Oreochromis niloticus: one gene and its partners. The protein of the gene in region 2 interacts with the protein of the main gene of each other region in a pairwise test. Links are inferred from orthologs where the notes say so. Each region holds a gene or a part of one and is shown on either strand. Other genes may lie near its edges.

The links.
Region 1: the proteins of trim54 (region 2) and psma1 interact in binary tests that used the Homo sapiens proteins (3 or more experiments, as listed by UniProt). The link is inferred for Oreochromis niloticus from reciprocal best matches to the Homo sapiens genes TRIM54 and PSMA1.
Region 3: the proteins of trim54 (region 2) and mfap1 interact in binary tests that used the Homo sapiens proteins (3 or more experiments, as listed by UniProt). The two-hybrid records come from large-scale screens. The link is inferred for Oreochromis niloticus from reciprocal best matches to the Homo sapiens genes TRIM54 and MFAP1.

What each region holds. Positions count from the first base shown.
Region 1 is NC_031972.2:42,851,610-42,860,389, reverse strand, and holds psma1 (proteasome subunit alpha type-1), read left to right. Parts: upstream 1-4,036; 5' UTR 4,037-4,159; coding exon 4,160-4,162; intron 4,163-5,360; coding exon 5,361-5,405; intron 5,406-5,489; coding exon 5,490-5,591; intron 5,592-6,003; coding exon 6,004-6,107; intron 6,108-6,202; coding exon 6,203-6,291; intron 6,292-6,443; coding exon 6,444-6,514; intron 6,515-6,649; coding exon 6,650-6,779; intron 6,780-7,001; coding exon 7,002-7,081; intron 7,082-7,217; coding exon 7,218-7,322; intron 7,323-7,425; coding exon 7,426-7,488; 3' UTR 7,489-7,712; downstream 7,713-8,780. UniProt on the Homo sapiens protein: Component of the 20S core proteasome complex involved in the proteolytic degradation of most intracellular proteins. This complex plays numerous essential roles within the cell by associating with different regulatory particles.
Region 2 is NC_031980.2:21,565,693-21,576,744, reverse strand, and holds the start of trim54 (tripartite motif-containing protein 54), read left to right. Parts: upstream 1-4,564; 5' UTR 4,565-4,751; coding exon 4,752-4,943; intron 4,944-5,676; coding exon 5,677-5,855; intron 5,856-8,720; coding exon 8,721-8,901; intron 8,902-11,052. UniProt on the Homo sapiens protein: May bind and stabilize microtubules during myotubes formation.
Region 3 is NC_031965.2:1,536,714-1,545,829, forward strand, and holds the start of mfap1 (microfibrillar-associated protein 1), read right to left. Parts: upstream 4,745-9,116; 5' UTR 4,606-4,744; coding exon 4,524-4,605; intron 3,241-4,523; coding exon 3,024-3,240; intron 2,931-3,023; coding exon 2,792-2,930; intron 2,706-2,791; coding exon 2,518-2,705; intron 2,034-2,517; coding exon 1,764-2,033; intron 1,676-1,763; coding exon 1,516-1,675; intron 792-1,515; coding exon 702-791; intron 91-701; coding exon 1-90. Other genes in the region: hddc3 (guanosine-3',5'-bis(diphosphate) 3'-pyrophosphohydrolase MESH1), read right to left, coding at 5,517-5,647, 5,826-6,066, 6,154-6,209, 7,387-7,498; vps33b (vacuolar protein sorting-associated protein 33B), read left to right, coding at 8,011-8,106, 8,902-8,982, 9,096-9,116. UniProt on the Homo sapiens protein: Involved in pre-mRNA splicing as a component of the spliceosome.

The DNA of each region.
Region 1 (8,780 bases), on a different chromosome or scaffold from region 2:
TATTATTAAGTGCCCATAATGTACAGCTTTTTTTTTTAGCCAGAAAAAAACGTCTTCAGCCATTTGCCGCTGAAATGCTGCATAAGTGCTTTCGTCAACACCAGGAAACTGACAGCACTGAGAAGGATCTCTGCAAGACTCCCTCCTCACCTCTTCTCACACACACATGCTCTGCTGGAAATCTTAAAGCCTATGACGACATGCAGATGAGAGCCATAAAACTTATCAGCAGGATAGGCTGCCGAGGCTTTTCTCTGTTTGCTCTGTGGCTGCAGACCCCTGACCTGTCTTGTCACTGGATAGCTGCCAGCTTAATGCAACATTGGCAGAGCTGCCACCTTTCCTACCAATTAGTCCGTCCATTTTCTGAGCTAAAACACATCGCTGACCTATTTTTAGCAACACAGGTTGGGAATTTGCGGAATTTTACACCAGTCAGGATAGAAATTATTACTATATATTATGTTTATATGTTTTATTATACATTATAGAAGTAATGTAAAATCCTCGGTGTGTCCTGCCAACAAAAGGAAAGACACAACATATTTTAAAAAAATCACTGGGTGCTAAAGTGATGATATAAACTAGAGATAGTAATTAACCATCATTTAAAATATATATATCTATATCTATATCTATCTATATATAGAGAGATAGATAGATATAGATATATATGAATGAGTAGAAGAATGGGTGTGCTTACACTTACCACCATGTGTGGGTCCACAGTGTGGCTTGGACCCATCACACAGTGACTCAGGCTGCTCTCCATTTGAAAAATTAAATGGGAGGTGGGGGGGGCACTTGGCAAAATAAAATGAGGCCCCCAGGAAAAAAAAAGAAAAAAACATGCTGAGCTAAGCACAGCTCCTACAATCTCAATCACAAAGGAGGAGGTTGGCGCACTGATGTAATGGCTGCCGCCATGCTGCTGCTGCCTTGGCAGGGGAGGAGAGCTCGTCAGCACAGTCCTACTAATTCAAACCCCCACCCCCACTCCCCACCCAACCCCATTCTGGATCAAGGGTACATCAGATATCATTAACAGAGAGAAAGAGAGAGAAAAAAAATGGGGGAACGGTGGCCAAGAATACAGCGAGACGCAGGGTATTGGACATAAGGCGTTCAGTGAGCATTTCTCTGGCTGCAGAGACACACATCATGGAAAGTGATAGAATCCCTTAGGGAAGAAAAAAAAATGTCCATGAGAGTTTCTGGAGCTGTGTGGAAAGCATGTGTATCACTGTGTCTATGCTAAACCCCACAAACCTGTCAGCATCTGTCCACCTGTAGAGCTGCTGCACAACCATGTGATATACATTTGAAAAAAGGAAAAAAGCATTTGAAAGCAGTGCTTTTCTCCCATATCTCCTATAGGATTGGATTTTAATAAGTTAAAAAAATACTTGAAAAGCTCATGAGATGATTTTAGAAAAAAGAAAAGTAAAACCATTCCTGCAAAGCTAAGTTGTAGTAGATTTTTTTTATATAAGATAATCCTGTAAATCCTTGTCCAATGTCTAATGATGCTCCCACATAAAACAGGATCGTTTTTTCATTTTCTTTTCTTTGACCTTCACGGACTGTTGGGTTTTAAGGCACAAGAACTATTTGGGTAACGGTTAACTTTAAGGAAAAAGAAAAATGGCGTTTATGTATTTTCTGGTCAGGATGTTGAGCTCCACTGCAGCTAAAGGTAACAACGCTTGTGAACGCTTTACAGCCACCTCTTTTTATACCCTCACCTAAATTTTAAACACAATATTTTCTGTCTCGCTGCTTTTGGGGCGAAAGACAGTCTCAAATCTTTTTTCTCGTAAATTAGCCATAATCTTTTTCTTTATTGGAAAGCAGCTGAAGTGGTGACAGCTAACAAACGTTACAATATATCACTTTTAAAGTAACAATCAGTAATAAAAATTAAGACAATAATTAGCTAAACTTTAACAGATATTTATACTGTTAAAAAACAATGAGACCTCAGTTTCCTTTGGCTTCAAACTCTGACCCATGTGCCATACCAGTGAGATGGGTCTCAGCTGTAATTTGTAATTTAATCTAGACCATTTAACCAAGTAGTCTTGGTGCCTAAACCTTAAAAAACAACTAGAGAAACTGAATTTAAACAGATAAAAAAAACAGGACACAAAGGTTAAACAGTCCTGCGAATTATGCCACTTCATCTGCCTGCTTGTATATGGTTGAACATTGTGTGGCTGATTATGTTATGCAAAAAATATTATTAATTATCACTTTATTCCATATTAACAGTAATTAACTATTAACTTGAGCCTAATAACTATCAATACCGTTCACTCATGATAGCTGTTACAAAGTATTTCCATTTTGGAAAATGGGCGATTTGTGTTTTACAGCAGAACAACACAAAGTATGAAATGCCCTCAGAGAAAAAGTCCAGTACAAACAATGGATCCGTGAGGATTTCTCTGAACGCCACATTTATTGACCAGCAATTTCTGGCTTTTACCCGTCTAATGGAACAGAAGCTGGGACTGTTTCTGTGGTGCTCAACAGAAAGCACACAGGATACAACCTCATTACCTGTTACCACTACACCACAGCAGAGGGACATTTTACTGGGCTCTAATAAGGAGCAGCGAAATGATTATATTAGTACAGTTTTTTTTTTTTAAAGATATGCCATCCTAGGGATTTACAGTTCAAAAATGGTGTGAGTGCCATTTTTTCAACTGCTAGCTGCTAAAATAGTGCTGAAAATTATGTTCATTCACATGTTTAAAGGATTAAAGGGGAATCCTGCCAGTTTTAAGAATTTTCTTTAAAGTACTCCAGTCTTTTCTGAGCATGGTGTTGCTTCTGTAAAGACAGAAATCAGCAAGAAAGGTACTGAGCTGGGGAGTAGCATCAGCAACTTCATCATAGATAACAAAAGGCTGCTGACTTAGTCAAACTGGGACTTCTCACATAAAATGTGTATTCTAAGACAGTGTAGTGGATATAATCTGCTTTACTTTCTACTTTGGTTTAGTCCTGTTTATTATTGTCTGTAAGGAGAGACAATTCATGCACTGCAGATGAAAAGTCATGGGTTATTATGGTTTCAGGAAACAGACAGGTATTGACTGGAGTGCTCTGTGACACAGAAATAATATATGTGAATAACTGAGATGGGTGGCCTTTACTAACACATGGACTTCTTCTGTCTTTGTAAAAAATTATTTTCAATTTTCACAAATGTTATATTACTACCTGTACTGTTTTGACCTTATAGTAAATAGTAAATGGAATCACACACATCTGGGAAAACTATGAATGTGGGCAAAAAAACAAAAAAAAAACCCTTCAAATCTAGCTGGTAAGGTTTTTCATCATTAAAGTGAGTGTGCCTTTAGCGAAGAAAAAGAAACGAAAGTAAAGATATCAAACAAGCACCTACTATTATGTCTATAGGACAATTTTATATTTTCTTCTGGATTTGTATGGAGAAACAGGTCTGCGACAGCAATAAGACAGCGTCCCCTACGCAGTGACGCCTCGGTTCCTTCTTCTAATTTACTGCTGCCGCCTAGTGTCCATGCTCAATCACTGCAACCAAGAGCTCACTCGTAGAAAAGAATATACAAAAACGGATTTCGTTAGTAAGCTAATGTACACGGCAAGATGGTTCATTAATTCGCACAGATCAGTTCATTCCACAAAGAGCTCTTGTGTTTTTTCCACAGTTTCAGTTTCTGCTTTCAGTTCACTTTTTCATATCCAAATGGGTTCTCTTTTCACGATCCTTCTTATGATTTAAGTAAAAAAAAAAATACATTGCAATTGATTAGTTTTGGATTTACCTTAACAAATTAAAACGGTTGTTTTATTTTGTCTTATTTGATTTTATAATATTTGCATATTTGCATTTGTAGAGGCAAGATTTAAAATACACTTCTATTTTATTAATTTTGTTTTTTTAGATATTTTGTGAGTGTTTGTGAATGCTTTTTTAAAAAATAAGAGATTGGACTGTTTTTTTGTTGTTGTTTTTTTTTTACATTACCAACCAAAAGTTCACTCAGTTGATCACTGATTTGAAATCGGGGTTCTGTTGGTTTCCCTGACGTCCTGTCAGGAAAATAAATCAAGTGAGGATCACTGCGCAGGCGGCGGGGACGAGGCACTTTCTTAAGCAGAGATGGTGCGTATGAATTAAATGTATAACTTTTTGGTCAGTTTCATATTATACATCAGACCCGAAGCCTAAATAAATGACACGGTATATTTTTACGTATAATATTTTCTCAAGAAATCCTGAAAGCAGGTCCACTTACTCCCACAATGCTAACATTAGCTGGCTAACTTTTGACTGCACTGTGAGTAAGCAAAACACTGCACTGCTAGCGTTAGCCGCACAGTGTTCAAAGAAACAGCCTTCACGTAGCCTATACTCAGCGCAGTCTGCCTAAGTAAATATTCAGTTAGCTCCTATTAAATGTTGTTAAAACATGATGAGTTAAATATTTGTTAGATGAATCGAGAATTGGAAGGCTAACGTTCAGCAGCTAGGCTGAGTTAGCATCATTGAAACTAGCGATGGAAGTAGAATGTCTTACTTTCGTTTTCCCTTAATCCACTTCACCGGCCTTTCGGCTTTAAAAGCTAGAAAAAGAGAAATAATTATTTTGTGCAGAAATGTATCACTGCGAAGGCTGTGATGATTCCGCAAGTCTCCTATAGTAAATGTTAGTGATGTTCTGTAAAGGTTACTTAGCTAATGACAGTTAGCCGTCATTAAATTCTAACATGTCAAACTTTTGTATGATGGGAGCGTTTCAGAGCGACATGGTGTATGAACATGAGTGCATAGCAATTGCAAATCATTCTTGTCCCCACAAGTTAATAAAAAAAAAATACATGACAGAAACAGGGTGAAATACACAAAATCCAACGTTTTAATTGTGACGCTGATGAGGCGATAAAAGCAGAAATCCCCATAACTTTTTTTTAACCAGCTCTTCGTGTCTGTTGTTATTTGGCTTGACGGACAATTGAAATCCATTTAGTATTTTATGATTGCCATTTACCATGCTCCCAGTATTTATGCTGCTGTCTGGTCCTAATCCAGTATTAAAGTCAGTTTGGTGTTTTGTGTTTCGAGCCAGTAAAGAGATGCGTGTTTATAAATAATTTAATCACGGTGGTAATTTAAAACCTGGCTCTGGAAAAGTCCAACCTGCAGACAGTCTCTTTTGTAGTTGCAGTCTTCAGTCCTTGAGAAACAGTAGCTAACCAAGAAAACTGCTTATAATGCAAGACAACTATGTAAGTTCAGCTCCTGTGTGTGATATTTTAATAACAGTCTTTTAAGTGACGGCTTGTTTTTTGTTTGTCTTTAGTTCCGCAACCAGTACGACAACGATGTGACCGTATGGAGCCCACAGGTAAGTCATGTCTTTCACTGACTAAGTGCATCATTAACACTTGATAGCATGATGAGTGAAATAAGTGTGTCCATCTGTGAACAGGGGCGTATTCATCAAATCGAGTATGCCATGGAGGCTGTGAAACAAGGGTCTGCAACTGTAGGGCTGAAATCCAGAACACATGCAGTCCTGGTGGCACTAAAGGTACAGTCATGCAGTGTTTGATGGTGATCTTATGACATTGCAGTTTTTTATGCCTTGGATAAATGCCAGAAAATTGGTCACTATACAGGCATTGTTCCTGATGCAGAAAAACAAGTCTGTAGGTTTTTATTTTTTAACACACTGTCACCAAGTATCTACACAATTATACTTCTTTCCTGAATATTTTGTGGGTCAGTAGTATGTTTCTGAGTGTCTCTAAACATATAAAAAGGATTTCCTTTGTGTCATCTTGCCTACTTGTCTTATTTATAGAAAAGGGGGGGGAAAAAGCCTGTTTCTTATAATAGGAAGTATATTAAAGTACAGCAGCCAAGAAAACCTGCAACAGGGTATTGGTGTCAAAGCACAATGACTGAATATCCACAACTGATGTGTCATGTTTCTCTTGCAGAGAGCCCAGTCTGAACTGGCGGCCCACCAGAAGAAGATCCTCCATGTTGACAACCACATTGGTATCTCCATTGCTGGACTGACTGCTGATGCCAGGCTGCTCTGGTAGGTAACAGTGACGCTGATGGTGCAGACTAAGTCGCTCATGATTATAGTACATAATATTCTTAAATACAATTCCTACACCTTCTCTCCCACAGTAACTTCATGCGTCAGGAGTGCTTGGACTCCAGATTTGTCTTCGACAGGCCCCTCCCAACGTCACGTCTTGTCACTCTTGTTGGCAGCAGTATCCTCTCTACTGTTATCAGTTATACTAATATATGTTATAGCATGTGTTTCCTGTGTGAGTGAGAGAAACTAGACTGTTTTCTGGTTGTCTTCATGAGAGGATTAAAAAAAAAAAAAAGTGAGTCACATGATTCTTGACTTAAACTGCAGAAACCCAAATCCCAACACAGAGATATGGAAGAAGGCCCTACGGTGTTGGACTCCTTATTGCTGGTTATGATGTGAGTTTGTTTCACGCCCGCTCTTTGTTAAATATCTGCCTGGATTCATGCATGTATAGCATTATCTGCAGCTGAAAGACTATAAAGGTTTCAGTAGTCAGTGCAGTTGATATTTATTTGTTTTGTGTCAAACAGGACATGGGACCTCACATCTTCCAGACCTGCCCGTCAGCAAACTACTTTGACTGTAAAGCCATGTCCATCGGAGCGCGTTCCCAGTCTGCACGCACCTACCTGGAGAGATGCATGGATAAATTCTCTGACTGTAAGATCCATTTTTTAATTTTTAACCTTCTCAGAAGCATTTACATTTAAAGCAGTTTAAACTGCAAATGAACACTTATCCTGTTGTATTGTTAAATAACTAATGTAATTTGGCCATGAGCATCTTGAGGCACTTTGGGACATGTTGAAATATTTTAGTCATCAATGCAGTTTTACAATATAAACGTGAATGGTCACACTGACATGTGGGTTTTGTTGTCAGGTAACCTGAATGAACTGGTCCAGCATGGCCTCCGTGCTCTCAGAGAAACCCTCCCTACTGAGCAGGACCTCACTACCAAGGTACCCCAGCTCCCGCCACACCCACCTGATACGGCACCTTCTTACACACTCAGCTAGCACAAATCTTGCCTTTAATGAGACATGAGCTTGTGCAGCACAGAGGCAGTTTCTCAGCACTGTGCCCTTTTTCTTTCAGAATGTTTCCATCGGCATTGTCGGGAAAGACATGGAGTTCATCATTTATGACGATGACGATGTTGCCCCATTCCTGGAAGGGCTAGAGGAGAGGCCACAAAGAAAGGTACTGCAAAGGTTTATCCAGTCCAGCTCTGGAGAAACATTTCCTTGTCACTTCATGATAGTATACTATCTAAGATGAAACTGAAAAAATAATTGTGTTTCAGGTTGCCCAGCCTGCAGATGAACCTGCTCCTGCAGAGGCCTCTGATGAGCCAATGGAGCACTGAGGCAGCATGCCAAACAGTGGTCTGCTTCCTGTAGATCCCAGACAACCACATGATACTTAATTCAAGTCAACAGAGAAATATTTAGAGGGGGAAGATGTTGTGATGTGCCACTTGCTAAACTGTTAATCCAAAATATTCTCTGCTAACATCAAACAATGTGATGTTGCTTTTGTATGGTTAAATTGTACCATGATACAAGTAATAAACTCCTTTTTGTTTTTGAATGCTGCTTCTGCTGCTCTCCATATTATTAGCTGACTCATGGCAAGTGTCGATACTTCGATTAACATTGCAGGCATCACAGAAGAGTCTGACTCAGTGCCATAAAGTAGATACTATAAAACTAAACGGCATAGTTTGACGACCAGATTATACAGGAAAGTGTGTGTGAAACATCTTCACAGCATGTTAATCACTGATGTGAATTCTCAGGTGCTTTTACTCACAGTAGGTTTGTTTAGAAGACACTTCTTCATATTAAACACTGAGGAGAAGAGGACTCGGCTAACTCCTGTCTAATTAAAAACCCGAGTTTTGTTCATTCTTAAATTAAGAATAGTGTCATTTATTGCATTTGCTCACACAAAGGAATCCAAGAGCACAGTAGGAAAACTGTCAAACAAAATTTAAAATGACGGCAGTTTAATGGTAGTGTTTCATTGCTGACAAAGGTGAGAAGAGGCACAAACATCCCAATATTGTCCACTAGGTATTAAGACAATTTGCATTCCCATTTGGGGTCTGATTCAGTCTTACTTGCTCTTTTTATTTTTTTTATTTTAGATACACTTCATCTTCCAGTACCAGATGTAATAACATTAGGTCCCCTTAGAGCAGGGGTGTCAAACTCAAATACACAGTGGGCCAAAATTCAAAACTGGAACAAAGTCGCGGGCCAACATTAATATTTATTGAAAAAAAATCTTCCTCCAGATATAAGAATGAATCTTTTCTTATGGACTCAAACAAGTTTTGCTGAAAAACTGAATATGGAACAAGCAAAGCTTAATACTAAACAATATATATATTAGCTGTATAATACCAGTAGGCCAGCATTAATAGTAATTTGGTATGGCTTCGCGGGCCAAATGTAATTAGGCTGCGGGCCAAATTTGGCCCGCGGGCCAGAGTTTGACACCTATGCCTTAGAGGAACAGAAACTGATGCCTTCTGACCTTCGTGACAGATCTAACAAACGGTTTTGTGTGCATACTCTCCACCTTTTCAGCACATCACCAGAAATCCTGGAAGCGTGTTATGTTCAAATGTTAAAAAATCTGATGAATTTGTGC
Region 2 (11,052 bases):
CCAGCTCAAAATGTCAGTGGATCGGCTCATGACAAAGCTAATTGCTTTTAGATGGCAAATTATTTAATTGCTTTCCCTACGGGTGATTTGATAGATTTAATGCCATCTAAGGCTGAGACGTGAGGATTACTGATGATGTAATGTGATTTTGGTGAGAGTTTGAGCTGCCAGCATTTTCCATGAATCATCCACTTTGCACTGATTTATTGACTTGTCTGAAACTGATTTTCTTCCTTGACTCAAAAGCTGTAATGGAAGGCAGATGAAGCCCAATAAATAAGCAATTTACTTCAACAAAAAGCTCAAAAATACAATGGGTTGCGTCATAAGTGTACTCAGAACACATCATGTTAAGCATTATTCTGCTACATCTCCATGGATGGATGAATAGATGGCTTTGGGCGTCTTCTGAAATGACAAAGAAACCTTTTTTTTTTTTTTTTTTTTTTTTTAAAGAAGTAGTTCAACATTTTGGGAAATCTGTTTCATAAATGTATTTGCTTCAATGCTTTTTGCCAACAGACTGTAAATAAAAGATGGGCGTCGCCACCTCAGTGTCAACCTTTGGGTTAATGAAGGCTTGAGCCGAGGGGTTTATCTGTTTTTGCCATTTTTATGATTTGAAACTGTGCATGATGAATGAGGGGTGGGTCTGACTAAAAAACCAAGGACATTGCACAATCATAGGTTAGCTACTTGTCAATTACAAAGTAAAACAGCTTCTGTTTTGTTAACGAGGTCACCACTTACAAACTGGACCCATAATTAATGTGTGGAACTAGCGATCGAGGCCACGTGTTTAATCTGTAAACTCTCACAGATTAAAAGAGCGTAGAGCCATTTCCTTTAGACATCTATACAGTTGTGAAACCAGAGTTGCTGCCCCCTGTTGGCCACTAAATGAATGACGTGTTAAGGCCCTTCACTGGCTTAATTTTGTTAGTGTTTTAAAATGGTATTGATGAAACACTAAATGCATTTCCCAAAATGTTCAACTCTTTCTTTAGTAGTGCATATTTTAAAATGGAGATGTAAAAATTTGAAATTGTGAGTCGAAACAGAATTTAAATTCACATACCAATATTATTTTTCTGTAAGTTTATTTTGTTTTTGTTTATTTTCCCCTCTCTACAAAAGAAAGGAAAAAGAAGATAAAGCAAAAAAAATCCCACTAACCTCATTTAAGGTCTTTTTTTTTTTTTTTTTTTTTTTTTTTTTTTTTTTAGCAATGACTCCTATATGTCCTCTTATTTTTTTTGATGTTACTAATACTTGGCTTTTTTACTGCTTAGTCTCTAATTTAAATAAAAAAATGATATTTTGCTTCCATGTTATTTTTAGATTGTTTTAACGTTTTCAAACCTCAAACATTGTTTACTGACATCACGTGGAAGCTGTTCAGTTGTTGTCATGTGGAGCGTTATAGTCCTGTGTAGAATACTAATGCAATTTGTTGTTGTGTTTTTTTTGTTTAGTTTTTTTAACATAAATTTTGCTCTAAAGGTTTTATATCTCTGTGCTGGCCAAAACTATAGTCACATCTAAATTCGGCTTCTAAAACTCTTCTGTATTACTCGGTGTGTTATAATAAATGAATGCAGAGCTACGTGTACGACCATATTGTGAAAAAACAAACCAGCTTTGATAAATTTTTACCAGTCACTTCATATCTGCTCTTTATTTACATATCAGCTTGTTTCTGAGGGAAACCGTCTGCAGACTTGAAGGTCATTTGATTTCATGTCATAGTTGTTTTTAATCCATAATAATATCCAAAAGTGAAACAGAGCACTTCATTTTTATTTAACGCTACATCATTAGAGTTTAAACATGATGATGGAGCACTCAGTCATACTGTTTCGTTTTTTTGGTTTTTTTTAAGTGTTATAAGCAACACCATAAAACAGCAAAATGTTTTTTTGTTTTTTTTTTTAATTCTTACTATTAGGCGACATCTTTTATGAAAGGATTTAACAGAATTGCTTACTTGAATGTTTGACGCTAACATGTCAGCATGCACTGTTTGGTAATACAACCACTGGCATATGCTAAAAACAATTAGCGCTGAGCTAATTTCTTTTTGTGGATAAGCTGAGTGGTTGAAAAAAAATGTTGCATTCATCTTTATTAAGAAGAAGAAGAAATGTAAAAGAAAGTCAACAAATATAGAAGAATTGGAGAAAGACATTTTTGGATGAAACTGGGGATTGATAAATAGGAGAGCTGACTGTTGTGGTTCTCTGTGGACGAACATGTAAAACTTATTATAGAAACCAAATAAAACAACAGGATTTTATAACTTCTAGTGTGTAACTTTGTCTTATGTTTGTGCTTGTTTAGGAAATTATGTCAAGGGTTACACTTTTAGTTTTTTAGCACCACTTAAGAAAATAAGATGCATAAAGCTACTTTCAGCTTGCTCCCTGGCCACAAGGGGTCGCCACAGAGGCTCGCTTCATGATCTGTGTTAAGTTATATTGGCTTTTTGTTGTTGTGGTGGTGGTGGTGGTGTTTTGTTTTGTTTTTCAGGCTCTTCCCGATGCAGTAAATTTAAAATAATACTGCAAAAAATGGTGATAATTGAAAATACAGAAAAAAGAAGTAATTGAACCATTAGTGAATAATAAAGAGTAATTCATTGTCATCAGAGCCATCAATATGAAACAACTGCAAACAGTACCAAGAGAAAAACATGTGTGGTGGTGCTGGTGTTGACAACCATGATCACATTTATAAACACTAAAGCAAAGCTTATATGACAAATGAATGAGAGCCCAGTTGTATTTGGTGCTCTTAAGGGTGCAGGATGGGTTTTCTTTTTAATTAATGAAAAGTTTGTTGACAGGAAGGTAATCACAGAACGGTAACACGGAGGTCTTCAGCTTGAATCCCTGTGTTTGTATGTTTGGCTCACTCTGCAGCAGCCCTCCGCTCCGGACTATTAATAGTCCTGTTAGCCCATTAGCAGCTTAGTCCTGCCAACTCCATTCTGTTGATTAGCAAATACTTCAGGGTTTTGTTTTTGTTTTTTTGTCTGTCCCTGGGAACAGACCTCACTGCTGTATGCTGACAGGTTGAAGGCCACAAAGGGGTCTCTGGGTCACATTGTGGACGAGATCAGGCTTAGGTTCTGCATGAGTAATCAATTATAGTTTACCAGGTCAGAGCCTAGCATAAAAGTGATTGTACAACAGTTAATTCATAGCTACAGTGACAAAAAGAACATGTCCTGCCTCAATGTGCAGCATACAGTGAAATACAGATTCAGACTGCTTCATACATTTATAGACTTTACTATTCTTAATTTTAGGCCAGTAGTCAGCTTTCCTCTGCTCTTTAACATGACTGCATAGATAAACTTCACGTCTTTAGTATTAAATATTAATAATCACAACACATTACTTGATTTGTCTGATCACATTTTGCCCTCATATTAGTTAAAATGACTTGAGTGGTCCATAATATGATGTTGTTGTAGTTGCATCATAGTTATAGTTTGTTAAGTTTAAGCCCCAAAAAGAAATTCCTCAGCTGTCCCATCCTTTGATGCCCAAGCTACTGTATAAATGTGATATAATCTGAGGTTTTCTTGCACATTTGACACAGATATTCAATAAATGCTTTCTCCTGAGACTGAGGGTGCTGAGGTTAAACAGTAGATGGTGCTCTTGAGTCAGTTATCTATTCTCTGACTGATATTTCTGTATTTATATTGGAGTTTAAATGTCCTGTGAGCTGTTGTTTGTTTGGAGCTGCTTGGCCAGCGATTCTGTTCAGCTTTTTTCTTCTTCTGCTTCTCATGCTTGATGACTCAGTCGCACACCTTACATTTATATATTTAGTAGAGTGGAAAATTAATATAAAAAAGCAAAGAACCAAACTAAAATTTTAACTTTATTAGGATTTCTTTTAACAGTTGAACCATTTTGGTAAGATTTTTTTAAAAAGATGTTGACTTCTTACTGAATTGAATGTCGCCAAGAAACTTAAATCAGCCGTGGAAAAGAAAATGCTTTAAATGTGTTGACTTGTACCCGGCTCATTATTTAGCAAAGCTTTGTTGACTGAAGTTTGTTTTTAGAGGTTTTAATATTAAATATCTTTGATTAAACAATATTTTCACCCGAGTACACACTTTGCTTTGCTCCAAATAAGAAGAAGGCTTGTTGGAAACATACAGCACAACAAATACTCCACCTTTCTGACTAATCTCCTGGTGAGATTAGTCAGAAAGTTGGATGAACAGAGATGTTGCGCACTCGGCGTGTTCTGCAGGAACAAACAGACATCTAAGTTGAGTAATGCTTCAAGCTGTTTATGCCAGCATGCTAATCACCTGAAACTTTGCTGTCACAGGTTGCATTATGTCACCAGGATCCCCTCTGAAGTATCAGACTTCATAAAAATAGAATAATTTGAACCCAGATACCGAACCCTGCTGTGATCCCCTGCCACGCCCAGACTTTCAGGAACGCAGTTTAGACAGTAACCCAAGCCAGAACAAACTGAGGAGCTAAAAATACCAACAGAGGGACAGGCTGGCTGCTGTGGGCCTGAGGTGTGTGGGAGGGTCTTTACTTGGGCTTTAGGCAAGCTGGCTGTGGCATAAAGCGGTGGACATGGACAACTGTGGTTAGAAATGGCGTAACAGCTAAGTGGAAAATACTAAAACCAACTAACTTTACAGCCATTTGAGAGTAGAAGGGCAGAGCTTCCTGACGTCTTTGACATCTTCCTCACTGCCGGAGGTGATGAGCTTTGCTCTCGGCTTTAAGCACCCGACAGCAGGCAGCTCTGGGCCCGGTGCTGGAAGCGGAGCCACCATGGAGAATCTGGAAAAGCAGCTGATCTGTCCCGTCTGCCTGGAGATGTTCTCCAAACCTGTGGTCATCCTGCCCTGTCAGCACAACCTCTGCCGCAAGTGTGCCAATGACATCTTCCAGGTGAGACTGAAAGAAAAGAAGAAGAAGCCTTCGGGGTTTTTCAGTATTCAGAGATTACACTGTTAGTTTTAAAGGTTTTAGTTGGAGTTCCCCTTTATCTACACATCCTCAGAGTCTGCAGTGACCTTAGATTCACAGCTACAATGTGATCGAGTGAAAACCCAAACAGACAGTATTTATTTTGTCCTAGTCCACTCCCATGTTAGCAGATAGTATCTGTATATTAAACACGCTTTTGAAATTTAGAAATCACATTTAGTCATTTATCAACACCAACAACCTTATCTCAGAGGCTTTTTCTAATGTAAAAATATTTTCTTTCTTATAGATATATATTTTTTCTTTCTTATATGCAAATATATTTTTATTTCGACCTAAAAAATCTAATTTAGGGGCACAAAACATTGCAGTTAAATGGCCAGATGTCACGGCACACCTAACATCTGGCTCATGGAAAGTGGATCTGTGGCTGAGCTGAGGCCTCGACTGACGGTGCTGACTCAGGGTGAGTCAGCACCGTCAGTCGAGGCCAAATGTGGCCTGTGGAAAACTGCAGATGTGGGTCACATTTATTGCCATCTGGCTACCGATTCTTCAGTTTAATAAAAGTCAAAGCAGAGTCTTCCTCTCTCTTCACTGATACTGGGTTCATATGTGCAACCAAACAGAAATCCACCAGTGAAGCAGTCTGAAGCAGTTTGTTGTTTGTTTTTTCCCCCCCTCTTAAATCCAGTCAGCTAATCCTCTGTGGCATTCCCGTGGTTCCTCCAGTGCGACGGCCAGTGGCGGTCGCTTTCGCTGTCCGTCGTGCCGCCATGAGGTGGTGCTCGACCGCCATGGAGTCTATGGCCTCCAGAGGAACCTGCTGGTGGAGAACATTATCGACATCTACAGACAGCAGGAGTCCTCCAGGTGAATGACCCAGAGAGGGAGGGTTGAAAGAAGGGGTAGTAACCCAGGCAAATGTTTCTTTTAGTGAACTTTTTAAATCATCACATGTACATATTTGAGGGGGCACACTAGCATTGTAGCGATGTCTCAATACAGCCACAGGATTGCTCTGATGAAGCTGTGCCTCTTAATTAATGAAGTCTAAGCAGAGTTAGGCTTGTTCTGTTTGTTTTTTTTGTTGTTTTGCAAATACCAGATACAATGGTATGTTGGAGATAAAATACTCAGTTTGAGACAGTTTTTTCTTCTCTTGCTTCTGTATGACATCATTGAGAGGGTATTAATAATCTGCTCATCTCAGGCCCAGACTCAGTGGCCCAGACTCAGAAGCCACACCCACCTACTATTCAAGCTTCTGTTTGCAGGAGCCGGCCAATCAGGAGAGAGATGTCTTGAAGGGAGAGAATCTGAAACAGCATGTTCAGTTTTTGAATCCACCTTTCCAGTAATATTTGTTAGTTGTATTAAACCAAAGTCAAGTAGTTGTACCACTGGACACCCAAGACAACCTCTGTTTATATTTCTTGTTGTTACTATGGGACTCACCTTCCTGTGTCTTCCTCAGAAACATTTATCTCATTAAACCAATCCTGATTCACTACTAACTGCCACGTCCAATCCGGGTAAACTCACAAAAGTTAATCAGTGCAAGTTCATCCAACTAATTTATTTTATATTACATTATTATTATGTAATGAGATTAATACAAATCTAAGTAATCAGAAAAATCATAAAAATTAAACATTATACTGTTTGTAAAACTTGAAATTCTTCGTTCATCGTTTAAAAACACTAACATGTTTATCGAGAGTGCACTTAGCTGTAGTAATGAGTGACTGCCTGCAGAGAGCAGCATCATATTGTATTACAGCAGGTTTGTGGGTTTGCATGTTTGTCAGCAGAGCAGAGGTGATGTATGCATATACTGTATGTTGTGTTCTTGTTTATTGTGGCTGATATGAAGTATATTTAGCAGTAATGACAAAGCCATGCATGCTTACATAATCAACATCATCATAATCAAATAAACAACATTTTAGCGTTCATTTTTGGGTGATTTGTCTCTCCTTTATTCCCAGAGACATATTTAAAGACAAAATCAAGCACAAGTCACTCAGTTTTGAAGTACTGACTAAAATATGTTAGCCAGTCTTGAGACACGTGTCGGTTTTATATTTTATTGTATTTTCTTTATTGGTATATTAATACATTTTGATGCACAGGTTGATGATTACAGGTGAATGATGTGTTGTGTGCACAAGGAAACATGTTGGAAATATGAAGAGTGTCTTTTGTATTGATACATGAGAAAAAGAAACTTCTGATGCTTTCGCTGTAGTAACAGATTGTTACAGATTGTTGCAGTAACACATTCGATTTTTAATAATAGGTAGACAGAAAGATCTTTACTATTTAGATTTTTGCTGAAGAAACCCAAATTCTGAACCAGATCTAAAAGTAGAGTCGTTTTCTATGAGTGTATCAACCAGAATCAGTTATCAAATATTTCCCCAGCATGACTCATGTGGAACCTGATACTGTAACTGTTCCACCTGAGTATAACCAATACCCGAGCACTGTAGAAATGATAGTATGACAGTTGTTTCCACACGCATGCACTTTGTATAAAAAGTAAAGCGTTTCAAGCAGCAGCCTCTTTACTACATCTGCTCTCCACACTTACTACAACAGATCATCCTCAGTGTAACTTTGTCTCTTCCTCTCAGAATAGAAGCTGAATGAGTCAGTGATAAAAAAGAAGAGCGACAGGAGTCCCCTCGTTATCCGTGTGGGCTAAAATAGATGTGATTGTTCACACGGATGGTCACAAATCTTTTGTAACTTGTGGTTTTCTCATCATTTTTTCACACGTGAAAAATATTATCATAACTTAATCATCGTTTCTGTCAGAGACGCCTGCGTCAGAGTACAAAGGACAGTTTATTTCATGAAATTTAGCTGTTGTTTCTCGGAAGCTACAGAATTATCCATGTCCGTGTCAGCTTCTTTTTTTAAATGAAATGTCTGGCAGTGATCAATCTGGGAGGAGAATGATGTCAAATCACACGCACAAAAATAAAGGAGACAGCAATGATAATGACCTTTATATACATACACTATTCTTGTATATATTAAAGCTATAATAAAGGAAACCAGCTGAGCTGTAAGTGAGCAGTGACATTCCTGATTTGCAGGTGGCAAAGAGACAGCTGCCACCTCTGCCAAACTCTTTATGCAGTTCTTCCATCATCCACTGACGTCAAAATACGTCAGTGATAACAGAAGTAAACTAAGCTGCTTCAACAATACAGACAATGATGCCAAGTCTTGTGCATGCTGTGCATGGGAATGAGATTACAAATTAGCCAAGTTTCCTTTTAGTCTCATTTCAAGGGTATTAAAATGATGGCTAACAGCTTATAAAAAAAGACCTACTTCTGGATTATTTTGTAAGTGAAACACTGGTTTTCATCTGAACTTTCTATGTGCTTTAGGGAGTACTGTGCAACTGCCCTTGCAGATGCAGGCTGCTGCAGGCTATCTACAGGGGTGGGATGTTAAATTTAAGACATTTTTTACAACCTTATTCATATTTACTGTAAAGGAGTCTAAGACATTTTAATTACAGGCTGCTTTAAGTTAAAGATTGACCTAAAATATACTTTTTTCACTGTTAATATGTTAAGGTAAATATTAAAACTGACTACAAATGGGTGTGATACTGACAGAAACCTGTTATATAAACACACCAGGCTTTTATGACCACATCCAAATTTTCCTGGAGCAATCCTTACATTAAACATGATATTTTTTTGTGTCTTGCAGACTTGTTAGCATGAAACCAGAGCAGCAGCAGCAGCAGCTCATGTGTGAAGAACATGAAGACGAGAAGATCAACATCTACTGCTTGTCCTGCCAGACGCCGACCTGCTCCATGTGCAAAGTGTTCGGACAGCACAGAGACTGTGACGTGGCTCCGCTCGGCACCGTCTACATGAGACAGAAGGTGAAGGACAGTTACGGCATACAGTTTGCACTTCACGCCACTTCACGTCTGACTAAACCAAGTTGTTTTCGCTCTCTTACCTCTCCTTTTAACCAGTCTTTATTCTAACTGGCCGACCCTTGCAAACAGAAGGTTTAAACAGCAGGTGGGTGATGCTCGTATATTGTAAATATCATGAGAAATGACATTATAGAGCAAACAGTAGGAACAATACTGGTTAAACAGCCTCAATAGATCCACTTTAAACTTGCTCATAGCACATTACTGACAATTAAGCACTACTGGACATTCCTATCTCTGGTTGCCTAGGTAACCCTTTGATGTGTTTACCACACTGTCACATCTCACATGGTGCACTTCACTGTTGCTTCAGTCACTTGCTTAAAAGTTTGGGAAAGTTTGAGTCTGGATCTGCGCACTTTGTTTCTGCAGCAGTTATTTTACATGTAGTCGACTGTCACCGATGTCACTGACTTTCTGTGGTCACAACATCAGTAGAAACATGCCAATATGTCGTATCACTTATGCCTTCAATACTTTATTAATTCACTGCCCCCACACATTGAAATTTATAATAAAACGTACAGCTTTCTAAATGAATCCCCTCAGCATCACCACTACAAAACTTATAAAATGAATCATTGTTAAATAGAACTGAAGTCAACTAATGTGTATCGATGAAGAAGAAGAAGCAGCTCAGGGTGGAGAGGATGGTAGCCAGCTCAAGAAAATAATTAAATGAGCTGATTACAATTTACACATTATCTAAATATGAAGTTAGAAATATGAACAACACAGATAATCAGGTCAGCTTTCAAAATAAAACACTGCTTGCTGAAATAAATGCCCCATCTTTGTTTTCCCAGGGTTCATTTGTGATTCTCACCCCTTATTTCCATCTCATACTTTAAATGAGCCCAGTCCAATTCACATTTCCACCCTCAAACAAACTTCTTTTACCTTCATTTAATTTTATTTTCAGCTTAGTTGCAGAGAGCCCTGCTCCGAGAGCTTGAGCCTGTTTAAAGGTCAAATCACCACAGAGTTGGTAAAATAGTCTCTATCATGAAAAATACAGGTTAGTGTGTTCATACGATGACCTTTATCTTCCAGCATTTTTTGTCTTATTTCTATTTTTACATTTTTCCTCTTCCTCTTCAAGCAAGATGCACACCAGTTCCCACTGTGGAAACCAGTTAATGACTAAAAAGAGAAGACACAGCAACTGTTAGGATGAGAATTTTAAGACATTTTTAACCTCAATTTTGATTATTCTGATAAAAACTTAAGACCTTAGATTATAAATGACTTTGTGTTTATGATGCAGCTAAAACAAGACCAAGAGCTGACTGATCGAATACTCAGAGCACATGAACAGCATACGTATACCCACTAAAATCAAGGCGTCGGTACATGTACATGATCATCTGTCCATCTAAACATCAGTGGCATTGCTCTGTGCACAGAATTAAAGTGCAACTTCTGTTTTTCAACACACAAAGTCACACAAAGACAAAGTGCAGCAGTTTTGTCATGCAGATGGCAGCAGCAGCAGCGTCCGGCATGTTATCGAGCAGTTGGCTTTGTTGACATTTCAGTGCCGGCCTCTCCATCTCTCACTCTGCATCTGATTCACTCATCTGAAATTTAGATGAGGCTCCTGAAAGTTGTTGATTCCCCATCTTTGTGCAATCTGAAAAACAAAAAAGTTTGGTGATCTCATTTGGCCGGCACAGAAGCGAGAGTGTTTGTTACACGAGCAGCTCATCAAATCGCACTCTAACTGTAAAGTGGCTGTAAAAGACTATAAAAATATGCATGATGTCATAAGATACTCTAAGCAGATGCATGTTGATGACTCATGTTGTTGTTGTGCTTGCTGGTGGTGGCGGTTACTAATGAGAAAGTAATCATCCTGCGGAGCAATCCTGTGATTACTATGAGAGAGGTTTAAGTTAAAGTCAGCATCTACGAGAATGATAAGACACTCAGCGGTCGACTGTCAGATTTTCTTGTAGGTGGAATTTATTTCTATTTTATTTTCTGTGATTTTTTCCTCCATAAAATGTCTGTCCCAAAGCAAAAGTTGAAGCTGTCTTTGCAGTCCAAATAGAAGTAGTTTAAATATCAAAAAAACAAGGAAAAATAGTG
Region 3 (9,116 bases), on a different chromosome or scaffold from region 2:
CTCTTGAGCCCAGGCAGAGTCGAACGACGTGGTGTCCTGGTCCACCAGGTGGGTGTACTTTGTGCGTCCAGACCGACCAAAGTTTTTCACCTTTGCAGGAAACAAACCACAAAAGATCAGAGAGCCCCGTAATTGAAGAGAAAAAGAAACTCCTTTTGCTACTGCCTGAATAAGATGCACTGTTATTGTCTCTACTGCTCTGTGCAGTACGAGAGGTTCTCTCAGCCTCCACTGCTGTCACCACGTGTGAGAGGAAGTCAGTGGGACAGCAGCAGAGGACACACAGAGGATAATGTGACTCAAGTCAAAGACGACTGTTCAGTCATTAAAGCTTCCAAACAAGTACCGATTTATGAAAACGAACGAATAAACAGACGCAGATTAACAATAAATATCTGCAAGTGCACCAAGTAAGCAGGTCCAAGCTAGCCGGAGTGCTGAAACACCCGCAGCACACAAGGACATTTAATTTCACAATATAGCTGTCCAAATGTCTTCAGAACAACAAGACACAAATGTAAAAACATGGTTAAGTGTTTACATCCTCCTCTCTAAGGTTCTAACTAGATTCTGAGAAACAGCACACATACCTGCAAACCATTTAACCTTATTTTTCATATGAACACAATGCTGTTATAACAATGTTCAGTGAAACAGTCCAGGCTACGATAAAGATGAGAGAAAAAGCAAACGCCACCGACCTGCATAACTTTGGGTAAGATGGTTTTGTTGAAGTGATCCTCCAGAGTAGGTGCACTGAAATCTCTCTTGTACACGTCCTCCTCCTCGTCCTGCAAAAGAAAAACATATCCTGACACTTAGACTGATCACTGACATCATCAGCTGATATCCTGCAGCTTGGATCAATGTTCACAGGGACAAGCCAGAAGGTCAGAGATGTTACGACTATAAAAACTAAGAGTAGTTTAAAAAGCTCACTGATACAAGAGCTTGTTGTTGGGGACAAACAGTACAGGCCTGGTGCTTGTTCAAAGTTCACATCCACAAGGATTACAAGCATCTCCTGCACTGTGTAGAGTGCATATTTGCTGCTTTTTTCAGACAGTAAACAGCCCAACACCACCAGCCCACTGAAGCTGTGCATCCCTGTGTGCATGCACATAGCATACACAAAATATCCAACATGTACTCAACTTTACTGAAAATCATTTTATCATCCGTCTCTGGTTCATCAAACCAAACTACAGTCACCTGACCTTTGGCACACAAATCCAAATTAATTCATTTCTAAGTGAACTAACTTTGAGCTTTACTCATCTATATGCAGGTAAATGCATAAAAAGTATTTGTTGCAAAGAGATCCTCCTCAAATAGTTTGATTAAAAAATACAAGAAAAGGGGAATGGAAATTGAGCTTTGTTAGATGTAACAAATGTTTTAAGGTTTTTAGGAGAAACTCAGCAGCACGGAGGAGCAGCAAAGCCTTGGGTTAAGCTGGGACATTTGGGGGAAGCTCAGAAGGTGCAGTAAGACTGAAGCACTGTGGTGACTCACCATGAAGAAGGCTCCTCTGTGGTAGTATTTCTGGAGGAACTTGTATTTGCCTTTGGTGGCTTTGTTGGTGACAACCTTGCCGTTGTTGCGCAGCTCGGCCCTGCGCTCCTCCTCAGTCAAGCTGTGGAATCTCTCGATTTCAGACTTCTCCTTCTCGAAGCTGAGAACAAACAACAGTCATGAGCTCTTCTCTGCACGTTCCTTTATCACAAATTCATTTTCAGTCACTCAAACTGGTGTTTACTCACGCTTCTCGTGCCTCTCTGTCCCTCTTGATGCGCTTCAGCTCTCTGACCTTCCAGGCTTCGTATTCCTCCTCCTCGTTCTCTCCATCGGTGTCCAGAGCGTCCAGAGCAGCCAGCGTGCGCCGGTTCTCCTCAAACTCCTTCTTGGCCTCTTCCTCCACGATCTTGAGGGTATAGCGCCGTCGCTCCTCCGCCTGCCGCTTCGCTTCGGCCTCCAACTCTCTCTGTCTCTGCTCCTCTGCTTCACGCTCTGCCACTGTGACTCTCTCTTTTCTGTGGAGAAAACAGTTCATGTGCTCATTAATGTTAAGGGCCTGGTATTCAGGCCGGTGTCGTTGTGATCTGCTTCCATCTAAAACACGAAGCGCAGCTGCTTTCTTCACCGCAGAGCTGCACGAGGGGCGGCTTTAACAGGAATAAAGTGTTCAGGAGTTACTTTGACAGAAATGTTCAGCTCTACTCGAGCTGTTTCCAAACACATTTTTGAGTGTGAACAGCTCCAGACTGTCCTGTATGTTTCCAAATGACATGAGTGTTCTGGATAAATGAGACAAAGCACACTTGATAAAAGACTCATCATTCACTCATCACTCAGAATATGTTTTCTCCATGTTGCTAATTTTTGTTCCTTCAGAAATGCAAGCAGACACTTCCTGTGTGTCTTGATCTGTCAACGTTCTGCACAGAAAACTGACCGTCTGCGACTGATAAATATGGTCTTTGGATTTACGTTGTTCTACAAACTTTCATCTCGTACTTGCGGATGAAGACAGGTTTGAGCCGCGGCTCTGCTTCGTCCTCGCTGTCGGTGTATTCCTCGTATTCAGACTCTGACTCCGACTCGTCTCCTGATTTCCCCTCTTCCTCCACCTCCATGACCTCCATCTCTTCATTCTTTCTTTCCAAGGCTCGCTGACGCATCATTGCTCGCCTCCTCTCGATTTCCTGTAAGTGTCAAGAAGAAAAAAACATGTCTCACTACAAATAAGTGAAGAAAAAAAAACTTTTGACAAATGTAAGCATTAAGGCACCTCATCATCCACTTCTTCTTCCTCCTCCTCTTCATCTTCACTGCTCTCCTCTCGCTGTGGGTGCCACGTGCCTTCATCAGAGTCTTCACTGCTCTCAGCCACAACTTCAGGCTCTGCTATCTGTCTGTGTCTTGCAAGCCTGAGGACAAACAGGCACAAACCATGTTCACGTCAGCTTTCCAACATGATCGTTTTGGTGAACTTGAATCAGATCGTAAACGCTGGGCGCCACCTCTCTTCCACGTCCTCAGAGACACGGTTTAGCAAACGCCTGAGACGTGGATCAGAGACATCCTCCTCCTCCAGCTCCACCTCTGTCTCCATTTCTTTTCCCTTCTTCACAAACTGGAAGTCTTCTTCTTCTTCATCAGACGACTCCATCGGCGCGTAGTCAGGGCGTTTACCCGACACGTACCTTTTCACCTTCACCTTCTCCATGGAGAGCTCACCTGGCACATGGAGAGACACAATCCTCTTAATCACACTTGAACCTACGTAAAGTTCTCCGATTAGGAATACCAGCTCAGCAGAACCACAAATAATACCAACTTTGAAGTTTCTCATTTTAATCTTTAGTTAAGACCAAGTAATAAATGTCATCATTTATTACTGGTAACTAAATCATTACATGACAAACTGATCACCAGAAAACTCATGCCTTTCTCACAGGACATGCAAATCATAAAAAATCATCTTAAAAGTACCTAAACATGAATTTATTTAATATTATACAATACTGGTAACCCCAAATGAATGATTACACACAGTTTGTCTTTCAGTTATTATTTAATTTACTTCTAATATCCAATTTCTTTGTATATAGCAAATCTAATAAAAACCTTTAAAAAATACTTTTATCAATCAACGAGTCCACTGACATGAAGCAAAATTTTAATTTAGAACATTTTTTTCTTTTTTAAGTAAGAATTAAATCCAACTTTTCTTAAACACACGTGACATCAAACTGAGTGTATTTACATGTATATATTAGTGCTATTTCTTACATTTGTAAACTCTGCAACATATTGTGTTACTTAATTAGTTTAGTCTGTTGCTGTTACTGTCTTGGAGCAACTGTAACCCACATAACTTCCTTAGGGATTAATAAAGATTCCGATTATGGGGTCACTGGTCTTTAGGTAACTGCAATGCCTGACAGTGCTGATGTCTGTGTATATACGTCCTCACTGACTTCAGGCCGCTCGCAACACGCTGATGCGGACAGTTTTTTTCTACTCTTGACTCTGTATTATGTCACACAGAGGGAATATCCCCAACTGGGTCATGTCACCTGCTCTAAAAACCTTCTGTTTAGGAAGGCCAGCCAATGAAAACCTTTGGCTTAAAGACGCAGGAGCTCGTTTAACACAGAGTGGACTGAAAGTTTATCTGATGTGTAAATCGTGCAAACCTCCCACTGAAGCACCCCACAATAAAAACGTGGCTCTGTTTTAATGCAACTCCACTCGAAGGCCGCAGGTAGTGCAGGATCCCATCAGGTTTATTGAGACCCGTTATCCAACTACAACTATGTAGACGAAGATAATTTTGTTAACACTTTCCCTCAATTGTTAAATTGTTACACTAATGTTATTAAATTAAGTTTAAAAAAAAGTACAGTCCATTTTTTCCAGCATATATCTTCGTACATAAATTTACTACCAGCTTTGCTATTCCAGCTAACTAGCTTAGCACGCAGCTAGGACCCTGCTTACTAACCGCACAAGCTCACCTTTCTCATTCCGGACCGGCACGGCTCCGGCCGTGGACTGGATCGGTGGAAGCTTCATGTTTAGGGCTTCGCGACTAGACATGACTGCCCGGTCCACGATATGCAACCGTACAAAGATTAAAAAAAGGAGTATTTCACTTTGACAAAACGAATTCCTCGTCGTCGCTCAACTCAAACGGAAGTTTGACACAATCGGCGAACGGACAGGAAGTGAATTTGCTCCGACAGTTCTTCCGCCGGTGAGCGATGACTGTGTTCATTTCACTTTAATACAGAAGATAATGTCATTTAGTATCCCCAGAAGTGAGGCATTTGGTTTACACGGGAAACAAGTTTGCGAAAAAATGATGAAGTTAACTTTCTAAAACAGGGAAGGGTGAAAGTGAATGTTAATATTCTGAAACGTTTTAGTGTAACAGCGCCATCTGCAGGCTGCTGAGCTAAACATTCATTCTTTTTGTACGAATAAATTCAATTATTTATTGTTTTCTTGGTTAAAAAGTAGAATAATTTCTAATAATCCGATATGTTTTAAATGTGGACATGTAACATGTAAAGGAGTTACTAAAACTATTAATGAAATAGAGATATCAGGTCGATTCAAGAGAAAATACTCAAATGAACTACATCTCCTTGTTGTTTTATATTAGCTTATTTATTTTCTTTTAAAGAAAATTACTGAGCATAAAATGTATAGTGATAGTGTGCCAAATTGTTTGCTTTGTGTAATGCAGTCCTGCAAATGTGTGTTATATCTAAATAGGCTTATTTTTAAACGGACCATCACAGTGCACAAGCTACAATTGCCAAATGAGGAGTAACATCTTTTACTTTTTAACTACTAAACACCACAACATCAGACATTCAACTTTCCTGCAAAACCATGCACAGAAAATTAGACACTGTAATGTAAATTCAATTTGATTTATTTTGAATATTTACAAACTAAAAAGCATTTTATTTGCATTTCTCCACTGTGTTGTGGCCCTGCTGTCAGAGCTGGACTCCTCTCTCTTTAAAGAGTTCCTCCAGCTTCTTCTCCAGAGCTGAATTGGTTCCTTTCAGGCCTTTCACCACCTCAGAGGCCCACAGGAAATACTCCTGCACCCGCTCAGCTGTCCAACCTGCCAAACACATTCAGAAACATAACTGAACAACATTTGATATGTTGTCTTTTGCACTTCTGCCAAATAAATAAAGTGTTCCAAAGCATTTCATCCTCTTCATTTTGTATTTTTATTTATTTTTTTACACAGCATTCCATTTTGTAGCAAACAGCACTGTGTCCAGAGAAGTACTGACCAACAGGAGTGCAGCGGTTCAGATCCCTCAGGTTGTACAGTTTATCAGCCAGTTTAACCAGCTTGGCCTGTTGGCTGCAGTGAGGTGCGTGTTCCACCTGTAGACGCTTCCTCTCCTGCTTGGGCAGGCTCTTGTCATCCGTCACCTCCTGAACAATGCGAGCCACGGTTACCCCAAATTTAGCTTCCAGCTCTGCGGGGGTGGTGTCGGTGTCTTCTACTGTATCATGAAGCAGGGCGGCCTGCAGAGCGGGAGGAAGCACATGGGATTACTGATGTGAGAATGCGTGCACGTGACTGTGACTAACAGTTAACAACTGATAACTCACCTGCAAAACCTCGATGTCTGTGACGCCCCCTTCGTGGCTGAGGATTCTCGCCACTCCTTAAAAGCACACACAGAAAGTTGTGAGTAGCAGAGAGGACAGTAAACAAGAAGCTTCACTGTTTCCAGGCTGCTAAGAGAAGTCACTTATAGAACAAGAAAACTCATTTATAATCAGACATTTCCTCTCTGAAGAGCTCCTTCAGAACTTTAAGTTTCTACACAACATAGCTCATAGCTCTCATCTGTAAGTAGGAAAATAAAACTCACACAGAAGAAGTGGACGAACCACCAGAAACTTCCTTTACACACAGGGACAACAAGGAGGGAGCTTAATCACTGGCTGCCCATCTATGGCACTCCTGCCTAACACCAAAATAAACGAATCCACTGAACTGTAGTCTCAAAAGATATTTTGAAACAATCACTAGCTCCTCTTTTGCATAATAAAGCAGAATGTCTAACGAAATGTAAAAATACAAATTTGGGGGGGGAGAGGGTTAAAAAAACAAACAAAGACAATATAATAAGAATAGATACATGGAAAATTAGATGAGAGGGAAAATAATTCATGTTTTTCAGTATTATTTTTGGTGCATTTCTTTATCCTTTCAAAGCTTGTCCCTTTAAGTCCCCCACAGCTCTAGTGGTCTGGAGCCCTGACAGGAAAAGCACTGCCAAGTGCTATCATTAGCTCAGCAAAGAAAAACGGAGCAGTGGGTAGTGGGGGAGATATTAGGTTCGTTGCAATCTGCAGCCTCACCACTAGATGCCGCTAAATCCCCTGCACACAAAAAGCCATTAGTTTTGTACGCCTGAACAAAAAACCGGATCAATCGTCCTCCACCTCCAACGTGAGACTATACACTGTGTGCCGAGCACACAGCCGAAAAATAACGTATCGCTATTACACGGCAGGCTATTATCACCAGAATCAAAATAAAGGCACTCGTGTTAATTGAAATATAGTTTCTGCAAAACTATTTGTTGCCATAAAATGGTAAACACTAAATATTAGTGATATAGCTGCAGTATGCGAGTAAACCCTGATAACTTTACTGGTTAGTTCTGATCGTACCGCTCCTTTCGGCTACTCCCTCCTTCCACGGCTTCCGGTATCGTATCAGTTAAACATCAGAAACTTTTTTTTCTTTTTCTTTTAAAGATAAGAGTGAGAGACTTCACGGGTTTACGTACAGGCCGTGAATGCATCATACTACCGTAAAAACACACCTACCTATGGGGTGATTTATATACGGCGTTTCCTCTGGATCTTTACGTTTCTGGTTGCGGTGTTTCTCTGCGGCAAATTGGACAGTTTCTAACAATAAAGCTGCATCTGAGTTCATGGTGTAAAAATCACGTCCTGTCAGGTCAGTAACAGAAAAACCGCGTTGTTAGGTGAATTAATTTTCAACGTCTTTCGAGCAAAACTGTGGCGGTCCGTTCGTATTATGATCCGGGGGGAAACAACTGGTCGTGGGATCATTCCAGTTATTTAGCTACGGAAGCAGGTAGCTGCTAACATAAGATATAAGATAAAGTGTTATGTTTCAAAAGACATAAACGGTCAAATTTCTGGCATTAATTTTATATTTTTGGGGGAAATTTTTACACACTAGTGTCAGCGTATTCGATACTTTATATCTTCATTTATGTGATGAATGTGATTTTAGCTTTGAAGCTAAGCCAGCAGGGAGGATAATCACAGCACAGATCTCTGACTGTTCTATATGTTTCTGCTGGTTTTTGTATCTCCATTATTAAACATTATATTTGTATATGAGTTATTTATTTATTTTCTTTGTTTATGCCAGCCGTGGATGACTGAGTGTTGTCCGGCCTCCGTCGTGTGTCCAGCATGGCTCACAGTGCCAGGAGAGACTCCCCGGAGCTCCCCGACTTCTCCATCCTCAAGAGGCTGGCCAGAGATCAGCTCATCTACCTGCTGGAACAGGTAGGAGCAAGTCACAGCTTCTGCTGAAGACATGCTCATCAGTAATATGACTGGCATGTATAGCATGCATATGGCACTGTTCTTCTTTTTTGTTTTTTATTATTATACTTTATCATTTGACTGCACACCCATTCACGAGCAACACGTCTGTTGGTATCGCTCAGAGCACAGAGGACCTCACTGGCCACCACAGACTCATCAAACATCCTGAGCAGCGTCCGGTGGATGTTGAAGGACCTCAGTGATGTCAGAAAATAGAGACTCCTTTGGCCTTCTGTGCTTTTAATGAAGTCTACTGTATTTCTTGTTTGTTTTATAGAATTATAACTTGTGTTTATGGAGATAACAATAAACCGTTTGTCTGGCAGTGGCTTTTAAAAGTGCCCACCAGCTCATGGAGTGATTTCTGCTGCAGAATCATGTCTATTTCTAATGCAGTGCTGCTGGAAAGCCAAAGATTGCAGCCATTTGCTTGAGATTTTATGTTGAGAAATATTACTCCTATATGCTGAACTATACTGTCTTCACATGAAAATTGTCCCCACCAAACTACAGTTTACTTTTGCCATAGGAGTCAGTTTTACAGTTTAATTTTATTTAATTAGGCAAAAATGAACATTGTCAGAATCAGTGGAGAAAGTGTAGAAACTGTGTGCAGACTAAGCCATGCACGCATTAGTTTGTGATGTACTTCAGACTCGGTGAAGACAAAAAACAGGAACTACAACAAAACAAGGGATGCTTTTTGTGTTGTGAAGAGCAGATTGTCTTACAAGCCCCTTTCTTGTGTCACAGCTGCCCGGGAAGAAGGACCTCTTCATTGAGGCAGACTTGATGAGCCCGCTGGATCGTATTGCAAATGTATCAACACTAAAGGTGAACCGCATCAGCTGCTGCTCTCCTGCCTGTTCTGATAGGGCATCTCTTCAGGATTACTGCACTTTCAGCAGGTCTTTAAAAGCTTTTTGTCTCCCCCCTTTTTCTTTCAGCAACATGAAGTGGACAAACTG